Linked DNA regions of Drosophila melanogaster. The protein of the gene in region 1 interacts with the protein of each later gene in a pairwise test. Each region holds a gene or a part of one and is shown on either strand. Other genes may lie near its edges.

Region 1 (8,642 bases):
AGTCGCCGCGGTTGGTGATGCAGCTGCCGATTCCAGATCGCTTGTTATCCGCAAACATGCCCATGTACTTGTCCCCGCTAACCAGATCCTCTATCACTCCGTATCCACTGCGTGCATTGGCCTGGTACTCGCCCACGTAGATGTATCGGTTGTTCCGCATCACTCCATGGCCGTGAAACAGGCCCTCGCAAAAATTTCCTTCGTAGACTTCGCTCTCGGGGGAATCCTTACAGTGCATTTCGTAAACACCGTGGCCGTGGAACCGGCCACCTTTAAAGTTACCTACATACAGCCCCGTTGTCGGAATCACCATTTTGCCGAAACCTTAGGAATAACGTTCTTTTAATGCTTTTTTCTATCTCTAAACTATCGTTTTGGATGATCATCGATAATTTACATAGGAGCTATATAACTAAATAACACCCAGGTCAATTATAACTCACCTTCAATGATCCCGTGTTGCAGCTCTCCGCAGTATACACTTCCGTCTGGATACTCAAGGTAGCAATTTCCGTGGAGAACGCCCTTTCTCCAGGTACCGCACGCTTTCACCCTGGAGAACTTTGGGTGTTCCCGACTAAACTCGTACCCCGTGGAGCGATAGCTGGGCACAGGACTTCCGAGAGGTTTGCCCAAGGACGCTATAATGCTCGATTGCAACTGGTCCAGCCACACCTTGCGCATCTCCTGCGAACGGGTGCTTACCAGAAAGGATTTTTCCGGCGTGGTCAAGCGCAGGCTGTCGCCTTCGGTCCACACCCACAGGGTAGTTAAGGGATACGAGTACAGCGAGTTGCCGCTTACCTGGCAGAGGAAGTCCGAAAAGAGAATGAAACTGTTGCTTGACCTGCTGATACCAGAAGTGACTAGTTTCAATGGAACCAAAGCCGACGTCAAAATAACCCTTCTGTGACGTCCTCTGAACTGCACAATCCTCGGGTTTCTATCGTTGCTGCTCCAGAAATCCTTGGTATTCACGGCGAGCTCCTGGCTGATGCAGCTGTGCCGCGCGAACTCCGACCAGGCCACCCTATGCTCTCCGTACTCAGATTGCGTCCTCACCAGCAGCTCCATAAACTGGACAAACAGCTGGTAGATACTGAAGGGTTGCTGGAACAACCGAGTGACGTAGCTCTCCTCGTTGAGCTCGGCCAGCGGGCTGCTGAGTCCAGTAATGGCGACCACCGCCTCTCCAAATCCATTGACCGAGAACACATCGCAATAGGCCTTTGTGTAGCCGTCAAACAGATCGATGTACTCTTTGTAATGACAGATAAACAACAGGTCGGCAGGCTGCACAAAGTCCGCTCGGTAGAATCCCTCTAGCGAATGCAAAGTGGCCACTAGCAGGCACAGTATTCTCTCCCAGTTGATCAGCAAGGGACCGAGGGCGCTGAGCGGCTCCAGTGCCGACTGTCTTTGCCAGATTTCGAGTGTTTGGACTGCCTGTCGATGCTTGAGAAGCAGTTGTAACTGTGACTGCAGATGACTCAGATAGTAGTGATACTGCCGCTGGAACTGCCTTTGGTTTTGAAGTGTGTATCCGCCAGAACACATAAGCAAACGTAGTTGTCTGGGCCACGCTGCTCCCAACTGAAGCTGGAGAAGCGTCTGCGCGTATGTGCTGGACTGCTGCAGATGTCGCATTGGAGGCGCAGGTTGAAGGGAATGTATTTGACCCGAGGCATTGAGCAGTAGTGTATGGTAGTCGCCGCAAGTCGCCTCAAGCGCCGAGTTTTGTTCTATGGGTAGTGCTGCCGTGTTTTCCGTAATTGTGATCTCCATGGGCGAGCTGACATCTTCACCCAACTGAGAGTGGTTGTTCAGGCCCCAGTGGTAGAGCCTTCCGTCCAGAGTGCGGGCCACCGTGTGCTCTAATCCAGCTGCAATGCTGCACACGCCCATGCTGTCTAGTTTCTGCAAGCGCATCACATTGGCCCTCCGGATATGATCCCCACTGCCCAGGAGACCATTATTGGAGGCTCCGAATGTGAAAAGTTGGGTGTGGAGCAGAGCGTATCCTTGGTGAAGAAGGTGCCTTGTGTTAGCCGCAACGCTGCGCTCCGAGTGGCCACTGCTTATGGATTTTACAGAGGCCCGTTCATCCTCGGGTTCTTCCTTCGCACTGGCCACCGACAGCTGGAGTGCATCGTCGGCCAGGTTGTAGGGAGCTACTAACATCACAAAGTGCTCGTTTCCGGCTGCTAAGTCCAACAGTTCCTTGCCCTCTTCGTAAAGGCGCATGTGCCGAGGCTGTTGTTCTGCCTTGAAGACTTCGCCGCAGCTGCCCATGACATAGGTCTCCCCACTAGCGCCGACGAAGACAACGCCCTGGGCGGAGCAGCAAACCCGTCGGATGCGTACGCCCTCAGCATGCAATTCGAGAGGGTCGAAACCGAGGGTTTGCCACGCATGTGGATGACCCACATCCCGGCCAGATCCCGTGGCTTGGCGCTGCACAGAGCCATTGGTGAGGACTACGAATAGTTCCTGACTGCCGGAGCAGAAGTCCATATCCACAACATCGGTACGCAGGAGTTGAAGATCCATGTGTTCGCGGTTGGCCTGCAGCTTGGCGGAGTAGAGGGCGTGGTCAGTGGTCAGAAGGAGCAGTTCCCCGCCGGCATTGCTGCAAATCCGGGATGCGGGAAACCGCTGCAGGGGCGGCAATCCGCGCCAGTGAAGCTGTAGCTCCCTGCCTTCATGATAGATGGTGAAGGACTCCCGCTCCTCCTGACCCCCAAGTGCCGAGTCATCCGCTGCACTGGCCATGATGTGCAAATTTTTGTTGGGGTTTTGGACAGGGCCAAAGCTTTGTAACACGACGCAATTGCTCGATTTGTCTGCAGGTCGTTCTCACATCGTGCACGTGCTCCGGTCCACGCTAGGCACTACTGGCACCAACGAACATCATATAACTTGATTCGGAATGCAACTCTAGCTGCCACGATAAAATAAATTCTGTTTTCACTTGTTCTTAACTGGCTAATAAGAATTCATGTTTTTGTGATGGTTTTTTGGATTAGTGTGACCAGCGCTATCGAGTCCCAATGAGAATTTATTAAGTAAGGGTGTTCGGGTAAAAGTGACGTTCTAAAATTGGGCTTATCACTATTTATTTGGTCCATGCAAATTGTTGTTTTATAACCAATTTTGAAAACACACATAATACCTTATACGTAAACTCAATATTGTAGTTAGCTAGAACTCTTATATAAATTTAAATAACTCCTTAGTTGCATTCGCCATAATCATGGAACCAGTCAACACAAAAAAGTTATTTTGGTATTTTTTTGCGATACATCAATTTGTTTTAATATGGTCATATTGTTTTTGCCATCAGCTGTTCGACTCAAAAGTTTTTGCATGTTTTGTTTATTTCGCTTAAAATGTAGTTTTATCGTTAATTAGGAAAAGTTACCCACGGTAAAAAAAAACAACCGTCAACAATTGTTCAGAAACATCAACTAGTACGACTCAGTGGACACCTCCGTGTGGTACTGCTGGTTTGCATACGCCCACAAAAGTTGTTTTAAGCCACAAACTCACCCTCCTAAAATAAAATTTTTTCAGCTCGGTTATGGATTTGGACTGCGAGGGCGCTACAGCTTTGGCTGACGACTCAGGGCACTTTAGCTGCACTAGCGATGATGGAGTAGGAGATCCTGCTCAGAAACCGGCGCCGCAGCCTGAACCGGACCAATCGATTTTTCTGGTGCGGCAAGAGCTGCTTCGGACGCGCAGTGAGGTGCAAAGGCTCTTAAAATCGGAGCAGTGGTACAAGCAGGAGCTTAAGTCCCAGAAGCACAGCAGGCTACAGACGCTAGAACGATTGTACGCACAGGAACGGAAGTATTTGATGGAGAACCAGAAGCTGCAGCAAGAATCGATCCGCCTGCACACACAATGCGCCACTCTGGAGAAGCAGCAGGAGCAGGGCTCACCATTTTCCCCTGGCTCATCGCCGTTTAAAGCAGACTCGGAGTCACACGACTCCTCTTTTGAGGCCAAACAGCAGGAGGCGCGCCTACGGGATCAGCGTCAGTTGATCGACGTGCTCCGAAGGCAAAAGAAGATGCTTCTGGACGACATCCAGAGGATCAGTCTGGAACACGATGAAAAACTTTCGCAGTTGCAGCAAACTGTTGTCGGCATGGAGCTGGAGAGCAAGCACGTGACTGGAAAATGCAAGCAACTACTTGACCTTAAAAGTCAAATGGAGCACCAGCTAGAGCTAAGAAGCACTACCCTACGCAGTGTCACCGCGGAGCGTGATCAGCTGCGCCAAGTCATTGCTGAGCTTAACGAGACGCTGCAAACGCAGGAGCATCTGTTAGCGCTAAAGGAACAGGAGTTCCTGGATTTGAAACAGTACTACCAACAAAAGCTGAAACGGGAGAGTAGCATGGAAATTATGCACTCTTATAGCATGAAATTTCACGAAGAGATCAACAGAAAAACGAGTGAAATTGCCAGCCTTAAGAATTCTCTTAACGAGCTTCAGGCCGAGCTGATGCTGATGTCTCACATGAAAGAGCAATGCGAGGAACAGCAGCGTCAGCTTGAGCAACTGGAGTTCGCATTGCAGGCACAACTTTTGGAGGAGACTCAACTTCGGCAAAGCAATGCTCTAAAACTGGAGCAGGTGGAAAATTTAACAATTTCTTTGGCTTCGTTACAACTAGATAAGGAAGGCTTAAAAGAAAATTTAGGTGAGGCGCAAAAGACCTTGAAAAATCTACAGCAGAAGGTGGACATTCTTCAAAAACAGTATGCCGAAATGTGCTCCTTGTGTCAAAAGACTAAACAGCAATTGGAACTGGAGAAAATCGAGATTGCCAAAATGAAGCAAAACGGTTCCTTAAAGGAAAGTGAGCTAATGGAGAAACTCAAAGATTATGCAGCGCAGTGTGATGAGCTGAGAAAAGCGTTGGCCGAAGCAGAGTCCCGTATCGATGTCCAAATCAAAAAGACAGAGGGCTGGCAAGTGCAGTTGAAACACAACCAAGCGACCCAAACGGACCTCGAAGATCCGATTTTAGTTCAACGCATTGAGACTTTGGAACAACAACTAGCGGATGTCAGGAGCCAAAAATTGCACACAGTTTCGCTGCTCCAAATACTGCTTCAACAGCAAGAAGCTAAAATCAAGAGCACTAACGAAATGGAAGCAGACTGGCAACAACTGTTAGATGCTCTGCAAGCTACTCAAAGCTTGGAGCAGGAAATGCGATCAGAACTACAGCATAAGACGGTTGAATTGGAGCACCTGAATGAATTGTTCGCTGGACAAAATGATGAACTGCAAAAGCTCCAGAAATTGAGCCAAGCGCAGGACGAGGAAAATCGACTAGAGTTACAGCTTTTGAAGAAAACATTCCAAGAGAATCTGAAGATAAACTCCGCTGCGTCGATTAACATGCAAAGGCTGCAAGGCCAGGTAAAGTCTTTGCTAGATGAGAAGGAGGAAATTGCGCGAGAAGAACGCAAAGCAGTAGAGTGTTTGCGATCTCTTGGTCACGTTCTTGAGATGGAAACAGGAAGGAGGCTACCACATATAAAAAGCTGGCCTCAGTTGGCCAAAATTCTTCGAAAGGAACTGCGAAATGGGAGGGTTAACAATCGAAAGGCTGAAGAGCTTCCTGGGCTTAAAATGAAGCTGGCGGAGATCAGCGGAAGGCATCAGCAAGCTTTGTCAAAAATTAAGGTATGTTATGTCTTACTCCCTTAAAGTAACTCTTTGTAACACAATTAATTGCTTTTTACAGTGTCTGGAGCACACTTTGGTAATGGAGCGAGCGCGGTTTGAGGCCTCGGACTCGGGCAAATCGACGGCTAGCAACACGCCCCAGGAACCCGCCCATGAAGTGGCTAATCTTATTGATGACTACAAGAAGGTAAGTATGTTCCCCTCCGATTGGCTTCTCTTGACATTTCCTTAATTGATTTACAGCTCGTTCAGCAAACCGCCAATGAAACATGTCGCCCTCGCAACAGCTTCATATTCGATCTGATTGAGCGGAGTCAGCGATGCCAACCGAATTTGTGCCAATTAGGCGAGGGTATTTCCGCCTGCCAGTCTGATATGAAGGAGCTAAGCAGGATTATTATTGCTGGTCGGGAACGGAGGAGAGTGGAGCCCATGCCCTCCCTCATGGATGAACTTCGAGCGGTGGCCGAGCACTCTTAGACGAGCATAATTTAGTTTTCAGTCAAATACTTATAAATTTCCTATTTAGTACCTATTTGTTTAGTCTCAAATTTTGTTTTCCTAAAAGGGGCAATTAGTGAATTGAGTTTTTGTGCCTAGTCTCATAGGCCTAATTTTCAATCAGATCCAACTTAGTTCAATTTATATAAATATTTATTTTGTTGTCTTTTGTGTTCGTTATCTTTATTTATGTGTAACGCATTCTGTTAGTTTCACCAATTCTATATACATACTAATTGCCAAACTATACCAATATTTTTTCTACAAGATATATAAACCATTGTTGGTTGCCACAAAAATGTGTAATTATTTTTATAGTCCATAACATTTAAAGTTAAAAACCTTGTGTAGATAAAACATATTTGTGTGAAGTCGATCAGTGCACATCATTTACTTTCGTGGGCACCTAGGGATTTTAGTACCATCGTTCTCCGAAATAACTTCCTTTTTGTCATATATCGTATTTCCGTTTTCATCCACGTCCAGAACTTCCTGTATTACCCCTTTTCGAGTTCGTGTTATCCCACACATAGGCTTATCGTTTTTATCCATGCACAAAATCAGGAGCTCAGTGTGCTGTAGATCAGAGGGCTTTAGGACCTTTGTTACCTTACAAGATGCCGTAAACTTTATGGGGCACGTCACCCCGGCACATTGCCAACCATCTGGGGGGAAATAATTATTAACATAGATGTTCCAATACTACTCGTATCCATGTAATCCATACACTTAGTCTTCTTTACCGTCGCTCGATTTAAGTCCTCATTTAGGTGCCGATCTCCGTCTGCCTTAAAATAAATGTACGATCCATAATACTCCATATACGGATTTACCCTTACCACGGTGTGGTCAGCAAAAGATAAAATGGCCAGCACTACCAATATTAAGGAGATAAAGATATTCATAGCTCAACCTTGCTGATGCAGTTTTCCTCTATGACTGATTGATTCAAACAAGTCTGCTGATGTATTGGATCAGCCTAATGTGTAATGTGTGTGTTCCACAGAACAAAGATACACCCCTGCAACTGAGTTCAGAATTTAATAACACTATAGTTTATATACGTTTCCGGACGTCTTACATTGGGAATTGTTATTCCTGTATTGTATTCACAATCAGTCACTTAGAAAGTCGCCTTGGAAGCGGAAACATGTCTTCGTCAGGGTGACTTAAGCTGTGGCAAATTGATTCTCCAATCAGAGACGGTGGCATTCTTTTCCATTCCGTTCGAAATGCATTAGGCGTAGGTACCCGACAACACCCTTGGCATTGTCAACGCCTGGAAAGGAATCCGGAGGGACCCGCACGAGGAGGGCGATCCACTTGGGTATTGATAAATGCGTTGAAAACTAAGCGACCGCCCAGTGGATTACCACGGCCCCACGCCAGGCTGCCCGATTCCCGATCCTCGACACCCCTCCCGCTGCCAGCTCGCGATGAGGAGCAATCGACAACAATCGCTGGTCAAATTCAATTGGCGCAATTTTTCATCTGTGGCTCCCAGGGATCCGATCTGGCGGATCCTTTTGGCTCTGCCTGCTGCCGTCTATTGTTGCCCTGGGCCTTGGCAATTGTTCTCGGCTCTGGATCTCTGGAGCTATGGGGCCATGGAGCCACGGGGCCATGGGCTATGGAGGTATATGGCTGCGGAGCCCTTGGGCTCAAGGTTGTTTATTTTGAAAAATCACCATCACCCGATCGTGGCTTGTGCCGACGGCTGGGGATTTAATTCTGTTCTGGACATTTATAAATTGCATTCAATTTATACACAACACGAAAGCGTGATTTTTACATTTTTACAATCTAGCGAATAATAGATCAGCGTCGTATTATTGCGGACTCCTTGCTCCAATGCTCTTTGGGGCCATACCTTCTTTGGGTCTCCAGCCCGTGCCGTGGACTGGTAGTTGATTGAAAGTAGTGTTGCTCAGGCAACAACTAAACCAATAAAATACGCAAATATCTATAATATTATTATTTATATATTCCGTTGAAATTGAAATTATCCTATCTTAATACTGTAAATATATATTTTTTATAATTTCTTAACGTCAACAGCAATAATATATAATAATATATATAATATAATGTAGTCGTAAACAATTACTTATTCTGTTCAGTAATGATACATTGTTGAATGCTTTTTAATGGCAATAGCCTTAAATTCGGCGAAAAGTTGAATAACTACGATTTCATTTCGTTTTTCATTAAAAATGTTGGAAATGTAAAAATTTCAGATATCTCTTAAAATTGTCTGTTTACCCGCATTGACACCCGTTCGAGGTCTATTATTATTGGAGTCCAAGTTCCCAGCCAGGTCCAGCAAGGTGGGGACATCGTGTCGTCCGTCCGAGGGTATCATTTTATTCGATGAGAGTGCTTTTCGCTGTACTTCTCTGGGACTCTTTGATTTTTTGATTTCGGTTCTGTG
Region 2 (6,848 bases), on another chromosome or scaffold:
GTTAGTTGACCAATAATAAATTGAAAACCAATTCGCACAGAGCCTGGGAATCTTCTGTGCTGTCCACCTGACCATTCTGTTCGGCAAGAACGACAACACCCATCCCATGAACATGAACCGGAAAAAGAAGCAGCAGCAGTTCTTGCCCCTGACCATACAGGACAAGAGGCACGACATGCCCTCGCCCATCAATCTATCCCCTTCAGCACCCGGGCAGCGGGTTTTAAAAACTGCTCTGCCCTCGGCCATGCACAAATGACAGACGATTAGCTTTTAAGGATGCAAAAATTTATGGAAACTCCAAAGAAAAAGTATAAAAAAAATGTTGTAAACTGAGATGGAATGAATATAACTGTGACCCTCAATGTTACGTTATGGTAATTTTAAACAATTTAACGTTCGAGAAAAGAAACAACATTTGAATTTGGATTAACTCTCCAGTAGTTTAATTAAAGCTTAAAAACAATTGGATCTAACTTGTTTGTGGCCAGGAGTTGTCGTGGGTCCACGGGTTGTCCACTAGCCGTTGTGCGTGATAGTCGGCGGCACATAGAAGGTGTCTGCTGCCTTGGGCTTCTTCTTTTTGCCGAACCAGCGCTTGGGATAGTAGACCTTCTTCTTGTAGATCTGGATGTCGATGTCGTCCCGGTTCTCGAAGAACCACAGGTTCTGCCGCTTCGCCTCCAGTTCGCTGAGGGTCTTCTGGATGGTGGCCTTACGCTCCTCCACGCTCTGCGAATCCAGTTGTCGCTGCACCGCTGCCTCAAACTTCTTGGCCCACTCCTGATACGACTCGCCGTAGTCGGCCAGCAGTTTGGGCTCAAACTTCTGCACATTGGCTTTGACGCTGTTCTCCAGTAGCGATTGAATGGCATTCGATTTGCTACTCTTCTCAACGGCTTCCTGCAGGGACTTCAGCAGCTCTTCGGATCCCTCCAGCTTGAGGCTTTCAACTATGCTCTGTGCGGCTAAAAGAGTCTCCTTGTGCAGGGCAGCTGAGTTCGAGGCCAGAAAGCTGGAGGCCTCGGGCACTTGTCCGGTTAGGACATAGCCAAGTAGGGCAACGTTCTGCTTCAGCTCTTTCAAGGACCCTTCGCCGGAGCCCAATCGAACCATGGCGCGACCCAGTTTCTTCTCTTCGGTATTTTCGCTGGCGTCGTCGGGGTAATTGCGAATGAACTTCACGCGAACTTTTTCCTAGCAAATTCAGGTATGATTAGTAAACTTGGTAAAATGCCAAAATGAACAAAATCTTAAATAGCTATTTATGAGTGAATAAAGTTTCCAGCCGCTTAGCTGATAATTCAGCCACTATCGAAAATCATCTTACCACTTCAACATTTTTGGCAGGAGGTTGAACTTGAGAGGACTCGAAGGGCTTGAACTCCTTGGCGAAGGACCAGAAGGACTGTAGGGCCAGGGACTCCAGCAACTCGTTGTTGCATAAGTTTCTGTCCACGAGAATAGTGGCCAGCTGGGCAGATTCCACCGCGTGGCCATTGTGCAGCAGGAAGTCCAACAGGAAGCAGCCAGAGAACTGGTCCACAAAGAGCCCGTACTGGATGGGATTACGGAGCACCGATATCGTCTCCTGCGGATTGGTGGAGTCCAGCAATTGCTTGACCAAGACACTGGGAATCAGCGGCACCAAACTGGCCTCCTTCTGTTTCCTGCAAGAGTTATCTTATGAGTAGGGACACTACTTCCAATATGGCCGCACCCACCTGAGCTTGAGCAGCCGGTCCACCAGGTCCATGGGACGGTTATCCGGATTGACGAACACATCCAAATCCACACTCGTTACGGCATGACTGCTGCCTGCGGCGAATTTAGCCGGTCCCTCGTGCGCCACCTTGTTGAATTCCGCCGAGAAGTAGGACACCAGTCTCCTGGGTGGCAGTGCGCAGGAAATCCTCGATCGCAGCATTGTCAATTGTCTTTTTTAATTCATAAAGTGTTATAACCAGCCGATTAACAAATAACATGCAGCTGGCCAAAAGAGCAACAAAATCCCTAGCGCGTTCGCCAGTTAATACCGCAGATAGCGGTATTTTCGTATTCGAAAGCATTGAGGGTATTTCGACTTATAATATGTTGCTTTTTCCGGGAACGATGGAATTGAAAATGTCCTTGGAATATTTGAATAAAATAATTAATTTGAATTCTTTTATTCTAAATGAAAAAACACATAAAATAATCAAATCAAATTGCAACAAAACTATTTAAAAAACGGAAGAGTACGTTTTATATATAGTTAAAAGGCTAAATGATATTTGTATATTTATGTATATATTTAATATCTGTATATACGTTTCACTAATGAAGTGTAGAAAAATGTAAAATGAACAACGATTTCACAGTTTATTAAAATCATTCGAGGGTGTTGAAAGGCGGGCACTACTTATAAATTGCAATATTAAGTTATACATCTGGGCACATATGATTTCAATAAACTGCAATTCAATCTTGATCTTGTTAATTAGATCTGAAAGGTATTCACCGCCAATCCCTGCGGTGGGCACTCCACAACAATTGCTATATTGAGCGCACCGAATCGCCACCATCAACTGATTACACGCCCTAATGCCGATCCAATCCACTTTTTCCACCCGATAATGGGATGACAATTTACCCCTGAAGGGCGTGAGGTTTGGTACTTGTAGATGGTGACCCTTCAACCCCCATTCAAGTCCTTGTTTTTCTTCCCACAGGCTTAGCCGGCTGAGCCCTCAAAAGGGTGCTAAGCCAGTTGTCCCGGATGATATGAAAACAAGCAAAGTGTTACACAGATCTTATTTATTTAACGCAATTCGCTCCAAATAGTCAGTAAAAATAATATCAAAATAACTGCATTCATCAAAATGTATACTAATATTTACATAGATATTAGTGGATTCTATATTTGATCGTATAAGCATTTCATTTGACGGCCATGGCCATTCTGGGGTCCCTTGAGAGATGGGCCCAGGTATTTCGATCCTGCTACAGGATTCTTCCGGCCATCCAATTTGCTCGACTTGTCCTTCATTATGTAAATGGCATGCCTCTCCTGCTTGCGAAACTTGGCTCTTCTGTTCTGGAACCAGACCTAAAACACACAATGGTTTTTTTTTTTTTTAATTTCGATTACTAAGTCGTTTTGTATCCTTCAACAGGATATGACTAAATTCGTTTCGATTGTAAGCTGGCTTCGAGAAACCTATAATATTTGAACCTATCAACAGCAGATCGAGTTCTTTTCAATAGTTATATTATATTATGTAAGTATTATTTGTTATATGTTAATTATTGAAATATGTGTATCCTAAACTACCCACTCACTTAACCAGCAATTCAATCTCATTAGTTTTCCTCACCTGAACTCGAGCTTCCGTCAAGTGCAGCTTGGATGCGATCTCTTCCCTGGTGTAGATATCTGGGTAGTGGGTTTCCAGGAAGATCTTCTCCAGCTCGTTCAGCTGGTTGGACGTGAAAGTGGTGCGAATGCGCCTCTGTTTTGATTTGTCGGTCAGGCTCAAGCCGTCGTCTCCATAGGACTTCAAATGGAAGTCTATGGCGAGGTGAGAGTTGGTTCAAGATTACAATCCATAATCGATCCATCCAGGTGCACTGGCTGCAGGTGGAACTGATGGCCACTGTACTTACCCGTGTTGTAGGAGCCAATGTTATGGGTGGCCGGGTAAAACTCGGAGACAGTGGTGATTTTGGAGAACAATAAGCTCGACTCCTGGTTGAGGGAACCCCGGATTGCGGACTCGTTGGCGCAGAGCTTGTAACTGGAGTCAATCATGAGGTTGTAGTGATTTATGTGATTGGCCACGGAGAGTCCTCCTCCATTGGCGCCGCTGTTGTAGAACTCCGAGTTCGCGGTGTACAAACAATCCTTGTCGAAGTTCGCCTTGTTGAGCAGTGAAAATTCCATCGCATCTGCAGGTAAATTCACACACGGCACTCGATTGAAATTTTACAGCCCGCTAATGAGTCATTCGGCCATAAAACACATAGTTATAGTAGCTCCGCGGCCGCACACACTTTTAACTGCCCTTGAATAAATAAGCTTCGATTACGATTGTATCAACTACAGGACATCCACGTTGGACGAACAAGGATGCTGCACTTGTCTCGGGAGAGCGGGACGGAAAATTTCATTCGTTTCCGCGTTTGGAGGCGGTCCTAACGAGCTCCACTCGACATAGGGGTGGAAATCTGACTTTCCGGCGCGTGTCGTGCACTGCGCGAAAATTCACCGCATTTCCCCAATTGACTTGTCACAGCATGTCTAAAGAATTGGTTTTGGTTTTAATTTCATTGATTGCATCGCTGTCTGTTGGCTCTGATCTAATCTTCACTCAGAAATCTTCTTTTCAATGAATATTTCTTCAAAATCTGAATATTTTCCAAGCTCCATCTTTAAGCGAACTTTTCTTTGAGTGCACCAATTTTCACAGGCCTCAAAAAGCAACACTCAGAAGATTAAATTGGCTTATCGGGCAACCATGACGCTGGGATGTCCTGTCTGAGCGATTAAAGGAAATGCTTCTCTGGGATAATATAAAAAGTAAGAAAAATGAAAATCCTCTTTACGTTGCAATAACTCTTAAGGAACAGCCAAAGTAACATAAATTATAAAATATATTTAAACTTCATATATGAAATGGAAAGGGTATCGGACAGTCCGTCATCACGAGTACAGCACTTCGCCAACTTGATAAAACAAATGGTGTTGTACCGCACACAATGGATAAGAGACACCTTACTATCTTTTCTTGTTTATAACATTGGGCTGATTGAAACATTGTTTAAAGTCACTGGCAGGATACAACCCCTGTTTTCGGAAACAATTATTTGCTCTGCGGATTATTTCGATTAGTTAATTCCTGCTAATCAGAGTCCTGCCTAATTTTTATTTACTCTGCGCTGAAGTCCTTTTTTTTTTGGACACCCTAATGCTGGATTGCTAATAGGATAGGCTGGTTGTTCCATGTGCTGAAGCCATTTAGTTAAATTTTCAAAGAAAAACAGTTCCAAATTCAATGTATCTATCTTCGGAAACAATTTCATTGGGATCAGTTTAGTCAAACATACGAGGTAAAAGTTTAGAATGTGCCTCTTTTTCCAGTTGAAAAATGGTCTTAGTTGCCTTTGTGGATTTTACACATTTGCATGGTAGAGTGAGCCTTTTCTTTTCTTAATCAACGAATTGGAACGACTAAGTCTCTAGGAAAACAAAGCCACCTAATAGATGCACATCATGCTCAAACTAACACTCGTGCAAAAAGAAACTCTACTTTGTAGTAATCATTACTTAAATCGCAAGTCTATGTAAATCGGAGAATTGTTATGGCAATCATAATAATACAACATTACGACATTCCGAAAGTTTTGGAATAAGTTACTGTGTTACATTTTAGGTTAAAATATATCCAATATATGTGTAAAATTATAACCTTTCCAATTGTAATTGTATCAAACGCAAAGATATGAACTCATTTTACATTTAATAAATAGTATAGTAACCAGATGTTGGAGGTGATCGACCTGAACGAAACCCACCTGCATTGTTTGCTTAACCCGATCTCAAACCCACCCCGAAAATCCTGTAAAAACAGCAACATATTATTTAGTTATAGAGCATCTAAATGGGAAGCTAGTTTAAGTAGGTTTCAACCTAGTTGTGGGTGCAAATGAGCCTGGAACTACATGCATCGAACAAGTATCAGGTTCTATTGAGTCATTCTGAAAACAACTAACGTTAGTTTGGAAAACATAAAGTAAAGAAAAAGGGTTTATCATGCATAGGTGTGTGTTGCACTTACACACTAACTTGGTATAGTGAAGGCTTTTTCTTTTGCTAATCACCGAGTTGGAACGACTAACTAAGTCTTTACAAAAACTCAAGCATATGGATATACTTAAACCTATGAGTAACTGAACGGCTAATACCCTAAGATTTATTCAATTGTAAACAAATTCGAGAAATTCGACTTAAAAATGCCTTCTATCGGAATTTCAACAGAATTACAGGAATGTTAATGATCCCTATTGCCATGGAGACAGCATATTATTAACGCCAATCGTTACAACAGCCCTTAACTTCGGTCGAGAAGAAGAAAAGGTCCTTAAGGACTACGCTCGACACCCCCTGTCCTTTAACGGTCTTGCATGTTACCCTCGACTATCCCTAGTTGTAGGAGTGCGCCTCAGCTGGGCGGCCAACTGGTTTTCAAATAGTCAACGGCAGCTAGGAGCAGCGGAGAGTATCGAAGCGGAAAGGTTGTGTCCAACCCCCACACATGCAGGGCGACTTGGTTGGTGGTGGTGCCTGGCCAGCTGCGGAGCGATCTCCCCACATGTCCATGCAAAGATCGTGCTTGTGCTCCGAGAGTCGCGCACAAGTCAAGTGGCACGGGCTATGCGAGGAGGAGGAGGGTTAGGGTAGGAGGATCGTGTGCCGGAGAGGAAGTGCCGGCATTATCTCGGCTAAATTCGAATTCGTTTGGTTACGCTGCGTGGTCTTGGCCAAGAGCTCTCGTTCCTCATTTCTCGGTTTTCAGTTTTCGGTTCTCTGGCGGCCAAGAGCATTTAGTTGCCTTAGTTGTACCATGCCGAGCGGACCGCTGAGTTAGGATCGGTTGAGAAGTCTGGCATACGAGTGGAAGTGGAAGTGTAGATAGGATAGTGACCGTTATGGATACCCTGCTGATCGCCATTCTGGCCATCGGACTGCTCCACAGAGGTACAGCCAGATCCTGTGGCGATCCAGCCAGCAACCGATATGGGAAACGCGATTTTTAAATTAAGAAATGAAATCATTCGGAAGGCGCATATAAACGAATTTCGAATGCGCA

The links.
Region 2: the proteins of CG11248 (region 1) and PHDP interact in a two-hybrid assay, tested with the Drosophila melanogaster proteins (one large-scale study listed by BioGRID).

What each region holds. Positions count from the first base shown.
Region 1 is NT_037436.4:21,676,727-21,685,368, forward strand, and holds CG11248 (uncharacterized protein), read left to right. Parts: upstream 1-3,323; 5' UTR 3,324-3,426; exon of another isoform or gene 3,427-3,506; intron 3,507-3,573; 5' UTR 3,574-3,580; coding exon 3,581-5,707; intron 5,708-5,768; coding exon 5,769-5,897; intron 5,898-5,953; coding exon 5,954-6,190; 3' UTR 6,191-6,505; downstream 6,506-8,642. Other genes in the region: Als2 (amyotrophic lateral sclerosis 2), read right to left, coding at 1-324, 444-2,772; Sfp78E (seminal fluid protein 78E), read right to left, coding at 6,602-6,876, 6,939-7,116.
Region 2 is NT_033778.4:23,880,391-23,887,238, forward strand, and holds PHDP (putative homeodomain protein), read right to left. Parts: upstream 4,051-6,848; 5' UTR 3,923-4,050; coding exon 3,646-3,922; intron 3,551-3,645; coding exon 3,357-3,550; intron 3,089-3,356; coding exon 2,897-3,088; 3' UTR 2,746-2,896; downstream 1-2,745. Other genes in the region: TM4SF (transmembrane 4 superfamily), read left to right, coding at 41-259; CG4882 (uncharacterized protein), read right to left, coding at 520-1,197, 1,331-1,670, 1,725-1,927; CG5597 (uncharacterized protein), read left to right, coding at 6,688-6,736.